Linked DNA regions of Arabidopsis thaliana. The protein of the gene in region 2 interacts with the protein of the main gene of each other region in a pairwise test. Each region holds a gene or a part of one and is shown on either strand. Other genes may lie near its edges.

The links.
Region 1: the proteins of HB5 (region 2) and LRB1 interact in a two-hybrid assay, tested with the Arabidopsis thaliana proteins (one study listed by BioGRID).

The regions. Positions count from the first base shown.
Region 1 is NC_003071.7:18,993,899-18,999,182, reverse strand, and holds LRB1 (BTB/POZ/Kelch-associated protein), read right to left. Parts: upstream 3,539-5,284; 5' UTR 3,073-3,538; coding exon 2,817-3,072; intron 2,692-2,816; coding exon 2,557-2,691; intron 2,420-2,556; coding exon 2,301-2,419; intron 2,201-2,300; coding exon 2,137-2,200; intron 1,910-2,136; coding exon 1,630-1,909; intron 1,552-1,629; coding exon 720-1,551; 3' UTR 511-719; downstream 1-510. UniProt on the Arabidopsis thaliana protein: May act as a substrate-specific adapter of an E3 ubiquitin-protein ligase complex (CUL3-RBX1-BTB) which mediates the ubiquitination and subsequent proteasomal degradation of target proteins.
Region 2 is NC_003076.8:26,101,316-26,106,195, reverse strand, and holds HB5 (homeobox protein 5), read left to right. Parts: upstream 1-1,581; 5' UTR 1,582-1,978; coding exon 1,979-2,045; exon of another isoform or gene 2,046-2,341; coding exon of another isoform or gene 2,342-2,354; coding exon 2,355-2,767; intron 2,768-3,280; coding exon 3,281-3,739; 3' UTR 3,740-4,378; downstream 4,379-4,880. UniProt on the Arabidopsis thaliana protein: Probable transcription factor that acts as a positive regulator of ABA-responsiveness, mediating the inhibitory effect of ABA on growth during seedling establishment. Binds to the DNA sequence 5'-CAATNATTG-3'.

The DNA.
Region 1 (5,284 bases), on a different chromosome or scaffold from region 2:
TTATTCAACTTAGGTTTTCGGTGACGTAAGCAAAGGTACAGACCACATCAGCTTTGAATATAGACCGTTGATCTCGGTTTCTCGATTAGAAAAAAATCGACGGTTAAGCTGCAATAAAAACGTGTGTTTTATATAACTTCGAATCATCTGACGTGGCCATCAATATTTTGTAGTGGAAAAAAAAAGTGGGGTCGATAAGTCAGAAAAGGAGATTAATCATCCAACGGCTCAAACGTGTCCCGACAAAATGACGTGTCCGTCTGGTAAGCGGATAGTCTTACTTACGCATTTATGTGGGCCCCATGTGACGAGGACTCAATTCCTCTATCCTCATTTCCTAAATTATCCTTGTCACTTCATTCTATTTCCTCGATGTACCATTGCTATAGCCGCATTGTTTGAACTTTGAATATAAAAGCCTAATGTTCACACTATAGGCAATTTAGCTTCATCATTACGCATCGTAGTAGGCCTTGAGCCCATATTTTAAGACTAACCTCAAAAGCTAGGCCCAAATTCTATCTTGGACTATTTATAAAGACCCATATAGAAAAGTAAAAAAATCCAATCAAAGAATTTACAGAATGAGGTACTCTTTAAGCCATACTTTTGCTCCTTAGGCAATTATTGTACAAAGGACACTCGTGGTTAGAGCTGCTACATAACGAGATTATACAACTTAAATGTGACGACATAGAGAGAGAGAGAGAAGAAAACAGTCAGTGCAGGTCTGAGGAACGTTTAATGGTGAGCTCGGCTCTGAGATGGAGAATGCCATTGATGAAATGTTGACTGTCCTCGGCTATGAACGAAGTCCATGGAATCCCGAAAAGGTTTCTGTAACCAACCGCTTTCCCCCCTGTGAATGTGTAGTTTCCTTTGTATTTGCTTACGTATTCTTCCTTTGTACTTTTATCTCTTGCCGCAAATTCGTAGTCCACACCAAAACTCACAGCCCCTTTCTCTTGCATTCCGAGGAATAGCCCAAAGCAGTGGAACGAGCTTTGCTGGTCCATGTTGCAGTGTGCTGAGAGGAAGAAACCTTGACCTCCTAAGTGGAAAGCCTGAGAATAGACTCTTCCTGAAGGGAATAGTCCTGCGCATTCCTCTCGCTTCAAGTCCAGGTACACTACACATTGCGGGCGAGGAAGCTCAAACTCCACCACTTTTACGGGTCTGTATTTGTAAGCCCTCTCTATGAAACGGCGGTTCATGGAGTCCGATCCTTCAGCTGCGAGGATGCGTTGCCTGTGTGGGGCTTCTGCTTTGAAGAAGAGCGCTTCTAATACTTGCTTTGATGCTACTTCATGCTCAAAATCACTGCACGTTAGTACCTTTTTCAGCTTTCGACACGTCATGTATGGGAAGCGGATGTAGAGTGCAAGGCGTGAACCCAGAATCTCTCTACGATCTTCCAATGAACTATACTGTCCCCTTGCCCATTTCAAGACAAAATCATAAACAGCATCCTCAGAAGCAATTTGGAGATCATCGCTCGATAGTATCGCCTCTATTCCAGCCAATGGTAAGGCCATAACCTCATCATGAAACCTGTACAAGATGGTAACACATGAACAAGAATTATACAACACTAGAGTAAATGCATTTCAAACCACTGGAGAGTCTTACTTGGTAATATCCTTGTAGCGCGAGGCAAGGAACTGCTTTGCTGCATCGGTTAGAGGTTGCACTGCTTCAGCCATTAAAACACTAGAGGGCAGCTCAAGATAGAGCAAAGCAGAATCAGGGGTCATGGGCATATTTCGCAGTAGTCTACTACAATACCTCATACAGGAAGCAACCTCAAACTTGTCAGCAGCCATAAGAACATCTAATAAAGCGGGTGCTGTTGTGACACTTAGAGAGTTGCTATACATAAAGTTTAAAAGCTCCATCAAAGCACCTTCCTCTACAATACACATAAAAGTAGAGCATGAGAAATCAACAATGTGGACTCCCTTAAAGCTAATATCGTATATCATATGTAAATCAAAGTCAGCAACTGAGTTAATACAAGAGGCATAAAGAATCCAAAACAAGAAGAAGCCAACAGAGAGCTAGTAGAGAATTGAAGCCAATATAAAGAGATTGGAGAATAGCAGAAATGAATTAAAAGCTTGACTTAAATTGTCGTACCTTGTGCACTAATTCTAAGGGTTACATGTCTTTGTTCTGATTCCCTCATTCCATTAGAAAACAGCTACAACAGGGTAAGGAAAACAAGAAGCAAAAGATAGCATTACATGCGAGATGAACAAGAGCAAACAATAAGAACATAGAAGAAGAAAAAAGGTTAATACCTTGTAGAAAAAGGGGCTTTTTGCGGCCAAGATAGGAGAACTAATATGCAGTTCTTTAACTCTAACAACAGTAGAACAATCAATACCCCAGTTTGGCTCACTAGATGCATCATCATCACCTACAAAAACCATTAATAAACAAAGCCATCACGTTTCAGACAAATGACTTCAACAAAAAACGCTCTTCTGAAAATTGTTAAGTATCACAAATTCAAACCCAGTCACTCGAGAGACAATGTGAAATTTAGAACGGTACCTGATAAAGCCTCTTCAACCATTGCCTCTCCTTCATCGTCAAGATTATCACCACCAGGAGCATCATCCATATCAGGTTGGTTGTTATCGGTTAAAATCTGTTCTTCAGCACATGCCACAATGTCTGAAATCGCAACTGGAAATGCAAAACGTATAAGTTTCTTAAACATTTAAACCCAAAAGCCCTAAACCAACCATAAGAACAATTCATAAAAACAACAACAAAATCTGAGATTCCAACCGATAGGGAATCAAACGTACCACCATTGTCCTTCTTGTTGTCCTCTCTTCTCCTCTTGCGATGACGAGCCCAATCGGCAATACTCGTACATCCTTCAGCATCAGACCTAGAATCCGAAGGCCCACCCAAGATCTCGATCCGGAGCAAACGATCGGAGAAGTTACTGTCATTGAAAGCGAAACCAAAATCACCTTCGGAGGAAGAACCATGGCGAGAGAAATTGGAATCCATCTCCGTCTTAGGGTCAAATAGATCGGTGTTATTGGAACCTCTCATCCTCCTTTTCGAAAACCCTCTTCTCCGTGTCTTCTCTCCGGCGAGAACCGAGCAGAAGAATCAGGATAACAATAAGGGTCAAATTCGAAAAGGTTTTTTTGAGGAACGAAAATGACAAAGAAACACTAAAAAAGTCTTTCTCTGTTTTTTTTTTCTGAAACAAAGAGCGGGTCGACGTTGAACGGTTATGGTAACAGGGCGGTGACGGATAAAGGCTAATTAAAGACAAAGAGGTTCGTTAATGCCAGCCTAACTAATTGTTTAACCGGTTTGGTCTTTTGATTGTAATAAGCACTTTGGTTCTTTTTCCGGTATTTTGCATAAATCGCGTAGGTACGATTTTGATTTTGACTTATCGGATTCGATTTTTAGTATTTGGGGGAAATTTAGCATTTACTTAATTAGAGGAGGAAAAAGGTAATAGGCAAAATTAGGAGTGTATTTAGTTGGAAAGCGTCAAATTTGGTAAGAAGACAACTCGTTCAACAAACGGCAATGCCTTTTATGTCGTTAAATATTCGTTGGAATCAAAGTCTAATTTGGAGTTTTCTTTTAATAAAATACAATTACTTCAACGTTTTACAGACTTTGTTAATTAGATTTTGACCGAGTGAAACTTGGCTATGCAATGATAACTTGACAAAAAAAAAAGGACTAATTTATAAATTGAAATCCGGCCGGTATACATTTCTTCGTAGGCCAACACATGACAAACCAGTTGACTATGTTGTGTACTACTAGGGATCATTTGAGATGATACGACTTAACGTATCGACTACAAGCAACCCAGCTGCTATTATTTCTTGAAACCATCGATGGTATATTTTCTCAAACCAAAACAATTATAGTGTACTTGTTTCGATCTGATCGAAGTTAAACCTAACTTTATTATTGTTCTTGTTTTAACTAAAAACGTATCCAAGACCAGTTTTGATGAATATATTTTTTTCTTTTTTTAGGTGAAATGTCCCCTTCGTATTTACGACAAACACACGACTAATGTTAAAATTAAAACAAGGAACAAGAAATATTTATACATTTGTCAGTTTTAATCTGTATTTCCATTAATATCATATTTTCAAATTGGCACACGAACGTCTTCTCGTAAATAAACAACATTAATATTGCTTCCATGCAAGCATCAACCACAAACACCTGCAAATAAACATGACAACCTGAAAAAAAAAATGCACTAGAGAAAAAGAAAACAAGTTAGATCGAAACCAAGTTTTGAAGAACAGAGACTAATTAAGAGAAGAAGAAAAGGAGCTCCCTTCAATCCAAACGAAGAGAAGAGAATGATATGTAGAGAAAGAGGGAGAATCTAAGAGGTCGTGCAATCCCCTTAAAGTGTGCTTTCTTCAAGCTTTTAACACCGCGCACTCTCTATGAGGAAGACATGAACTCTTAGATTCTGCATTTTAGTTCCTCAAATCTTGTCCTCTTCGTTTTGGAGGAAGGGAGCTCCTTCTGTTACACTTGAAGAACGAATGTCCCCCAAAAAGAGTTTGATATCTTTTTACAATAAAACGAACCAAAAATAAACTATGGAAAGAGGGAGAATCTAATATGTATGGTGATGGATTGTTGAGGCTTATGATGATGATGTGAAAGAACATGTTGTGTTAAGTCGTTTTATAGATGAAAGAGCATCAACCCTAGTCTACTCCTTGGGACGATTATGGAACAAGTGTAAATAAAAAATTGAAAAATATAGAAGAATAAATGGCAGTAAATCTTATTATTATTATTTATTTATTTATTTTGGCAGTAAATCTTATTGTCATTAATTAGAGATTAAACATAATCTTGTTGACTAGATTCTCTTTTAGAGAGAGATACGGTTAGGGTGCAACACTATGGTTTATGGAGTATTTGCAATTCCATTGCATTAAGACTAAAAAGAGAATTAGTTAGATTTCAAATGTCCAAACAATAACTAAACCGTACTTTTTGTATATTGAAGAGAATCTAGGCATTCGTAAGACCATCATTATTGATAGTTTTTTAGGTTAGTTTTTAGATAAAGTAGATCTTAAATTTAATGTTATAATTCAATTAATGGTTAAGAATAGCTCTTATATAAGAGCCAAATCTAATGTTTTTTAAGTTAATTCTTAGATAAATTAGGTCTTAAATATAATATTTTAATTTAATTAATCTTAATTTTTAGATAACTTAAGTATTAAATAGAATTGTTTGTCATATTTGT
Region 2 (4,880 bases):
ACTAATCCCACCTTGCTTTTATGCTCTTTCTTTTGTCAATTAAATATATATATATATATATATTATATTTTATTTTATTTTCTCAAAATGACTGTTAGATGTTTTCTCTGTATAATTGTATTGTTTGATTCAGAAACACTTAAAAGTATATATTATTTGTATAATTTTAATTTTTGTTATTAACTACAAAGTAAAACAGTTGGTAAAAAGGTTAGTGAGTAATTCAAACTGTGAAAAAGAAAGTCGATTTACTTGTAGAATTACAAAGTAATTGAACTTTTTTTTAATGTTTCTTATCTATTGTCAATATATCTATAAAAATACTACTGCCAGACTAAAATAATACATTTTGTAGTAAATGGGCAAGATCGTTACAGAGACAGACAGACAGCTATCTCATCAAAGCTTTGTCTCCTTTCCCATTACCCAATTTTAAAAATATTTTGCAGCGTGTGAATATCCTTTGTACACCACATACTCTTTTCACATATATAATATTAAATTACACTAAAATTTGTGTACAACTATTACCTATATGTATATATATGTCAGCATGCAGCAGCTAACGAAGCAAAAAACATGTATTAATCCGACTGTCTATATATGTAAGTAACTTGCGTTTAGAAAAAGAAAAATATGTATTAGGGACTTGCATTGCGTTTCTTAATCAGAATGTAATAAGTTAATAACAATGCTGAAACACATTGACACTAATTTTAAAAAATCTTTTCGGTTAGAGCAAATCAATTTGCATGGCCAACTACTGGACCGACTACTATTGCAACTTTTTTTTGTTTTGTATAGTATTTCGTTGCGTGTATCTGCAATATATATCACCCATGACCCATGTCTATATTTATTGTATTTAAACGAAGGTTGGTCCAGTGTATTAATACTGATTGATTATGACATTTTAATTGAAAATATCCCAAATATCAACTCTACTGTAGTCCGTAGAGAGACCTGAATCTCTAATTTACTGTTTTTTAACCATGCCATCAACCAATCCAATAAGAAAAACAGGAACAAAATACAAGTGAAAACGAAGTAGCAATTGCATAATTTGGGACTCCAGAAGTTTTTTTATTAATCCTATAGAATCAAATTTTTTTCGGAATCAAATTTTAACTTTAACTATTGTATCATTACGCTAACTATGAGAACATCTTATATTATTATATGATTTTTCAACTGTTAAATTTAAAAGTTGATCATTTTGTTAGTATATGTTTCAAAAAATTTAATTTTCAAAATTATGTCGTAGTATATGAAAAAGCAACGAGTGTTTTATATGATAAAGTAGAAACTAATGATTTTGAACTAATTTAATGAATCTTTAAAATCTATGCCGGCTCCTAAGTAGCCGAGCTGAAAACCCATGGCATTGTCATGATTCACGTCCTGGACCAAAGTCTCATGAGTAAACCGGTGTCTAACTCTAACCATTGTAAGCTATTTTGCATTTAATTACAAAGTTTAAAAAATCCCCCGAAATTCCTGAAATAACTCAAGATATCTCCAACACTTCCTCTAGGGTTATCCTGTCGTCTTATTTAAAACCCGGAGTTGGGGTGAGAAGCCATCTCTCTCCCTCTCTATCTCTCTCCCTCTCTATCTCTCTCTTACCAATTTCCATTTCTCGGGGGAAAATAATAATACGACTTTTGAAATCTCTCACTAATATTTCCCAAGAAAACCTGATGAATTAAAAGTTCATATTTTCTTGGTGTTGATTGGTATTAGATGACTATTTCTTAGTATTAGTCAATTCTCTGTTTCCATCTTATATGGATAGTCTAGACACAGAGCAAAGATCCTTCTTTGGAGAAAAAGAAGATGAGAGACGAGAGAGGATCGTTTCTTCACGTATTGGTCGTAGATAGATCTTAATCGATAACCATCTAGGCCTTGATCTAACCATTCAATATAAACTTTATTTCCTTCTTCTTTTCGATCTCAATTGTTCCGACCAAACAAGATGAAGAGATCACGTGGAAGCTCCGATTCTTTATCCGGTTTCTTACCAATTCGCCATTCTACAACAGGTAAAATAAGACTCTTGTAATATAAACTCTTATACAATTCTGAAACTGCAATTATGTTTGTTGATGATCATTAGAAAGATACTAATGAATTTTTTTATTATATGATTGTGTTTTATTAATTAACATTTTAAGTAAATATATGTTTTCTGACAATTCATACTATCGAGACGTTATCCTGACAAGGTTTTGTGATTACTCATGACATCATAAATATTCCATTATTTGATTGAAACTATCCGTTTTATGAGATTGGTTAGATATATAGTAGTACTATTTTTAATGTACTACCTTGATTAATGATTTTAACAGACAAACAAATAAGCCCAAGACCAACAACTACCGGCTTTCTCTATTCCGGCGCCGGAGACTACTCCCAGATGTTTGACGCATTAGAAGACGACGGAAGTCTAGAGGACCTCGGCGGCGTTGGACACGCGTCTTCTACGGCGGCGGAGAAAAAACGGCGGTTGGGTGTAGAGCAAGTGAAAGCGTTAGAGAAGAATTTCGAGATTGATAACAAGTTAGAGCCAGAGAGGAAAGTGAAGCTGGCTCAAGAGCTTGGGTTGCAGCCACGCCAAGTCGCGATCTGGTTTCAAAACCGCCGTGCTCGGTGGAAGACAAAGCAGCTTGAACGTGATTACGGCGTTCTTAAGTCAAACTTTGATGCACTCAAACGCAACCGCGACTCGCTTCAACGCGATAACGATTCACTCCTTGGACAGGTATAGTCTTTGTGACTTTTTTTTTTGTCAATAAATTTAAACGTCTAGGCACACCCAAACAACCATCTTAGCCATTATTGTAACTAAATCCATCAATGATTCGGTCAATCAAATAAACGAACGTATAGAACATTAATAACATCGTTTCAATTTGTTTATTTTGAAATTACAATTTGAATTCTGACCGTTAGACTAAAGTTTTGATCGTCTGTGTTTGAATTGCCTTTAATTACGTTGATTTTTCTTTAGTGTATAAAAAAGTCACAAACTTATGCATTTTAAGCTAATATCATTTGTTAAAAATATCATTTTAAGCTAATTACAAATGATAAACCAAACACAAACAGATTTTTTTTTTGAATTTTGTGATTAATATACTAAAAGTTTCATGTTTATTAATTTATTATATAATTTGGGATAATAATAGCTAAATTTAAACAAATTCAGAGATAATCCTTTTGTTTGGTAGATTATAAAGAGTATTGATATTTATAAAACATGACATTTATGCAGATTAAAGAGCTGAAAGCAAAACTTAACGTGGAAGGGGTTAAAGGTATAGAAGAGAACGGCGCTTTAAAAGCAGTGGAAGCAAATCAATCGGTGATGGCTAATAATGAAGTCTTAGAGCTAAGCCACCGTTCTCCATCGCCACCACCGCATATTCCTACGGACGCTCCGACATCGGAGCTCGCATTCGAAATGTTTAGCATTTTTCCACGCACGGAAAACTTCAGAGACGATCCTGCCGATAGCAGCGACTCAAGCGCGGTTTTGAACGAAGAGTATAGTCCCAATACGGTTGAAGCAGCTGGCGCAGTGGCGGCCACGACTGTAGAAATGTCGACGATGGGTTGTTTTAGCCAATTCGTGAAAATGGAAGAGCATGAAGATCTGTTTAGTGGAGAGGAAGCTTGCAAGTTGTTTGCGGACAATGAGCAATGGTATTGCTCCGATCAGTGGAATTCGTAAAATGTGGGGGCAGAATTAAAAGCATAGAAAAGCTGAAGGGGGTATGTGGAAATATTACTGAAGTCATATTGGGTCGGAAAATGCATTACTCAAAATATTGGGGTTTTTCTTGAGAAAATGGAATATGACGCGAGAGGGTAGTAAAAACGAGCGTGTGGTGTTCCATGCACGTGTGGCCGTAATCTTTTCAAGGTTGAATGAGAGAGGACAAAAAAGTCTGAAATCATCGGGAATAAAAAAAATATGTGACGAAGAAATCGTTTTTTCGTCGTTTATAATATTATTTGAATAATTTTACTTAGGTGAATGTAATCGTCAAAAATCTTTAAATTCCGAAGGGTTAAAGATTCTGAGCACGACTAACTATCTATCCTCTTTTATTGTTCTCGTCGTCCATTGACGACTATGCACAATTCATAAGATTATTCCCTATGTACAATGTGTCTTTTTAGAGAAACCTATCTGAATTTTGAAAATGTTATATAATTTAATTTTGGCATTGATCTGTTTCAAAGTCGACATGATACGATCGATGCTAATAAGAACTGTTTATTTCGAGATTGAGAGTGGTCCAAATTTGAGATGTCGGATTTGATAAGATGCATTACCAAATAATGCTTTTAACCAAAAAAAATCCTCAAATATAATCAACAATTGTTTTGAATCGGTCAAATCTTCTTGTTGGTTTCTTTAAAATTGGATCTTCAATTGGTTCATTTAGATAGGTCTAAGTTGTATGTTTAGTTTTAGCATCTGTCTTACCAACTTTTATGATAATCGATTATTATTGATTTATGTGGTGATAAGTTTTGAGCTACAACACTGTAAAGTCTGTAATTAGGATAAAATGTCATATCGCATTTTTTGTAAATGGATTAATAACATACAAATCATAGCATGATAAAAAAAAAAAAAACATAAAACCATTCAACGTATGCATAATTTCTCTTTTTCGTTATCTTTTGAAAATTTCTCAGTAAGGACATGGAGATAAAACATGAAAAGCCGAGCCACATAATTGGATCTCCCTAAATATCCGTGTTTGTTTCTAGCCGTTCCTTTTTCTCCTTTTGTTACTTGCTTTTCATAACCTAAAATCTTGTTTTTTATTTGCCTTTTTGCTGCAAGGAAGAAGCACGAT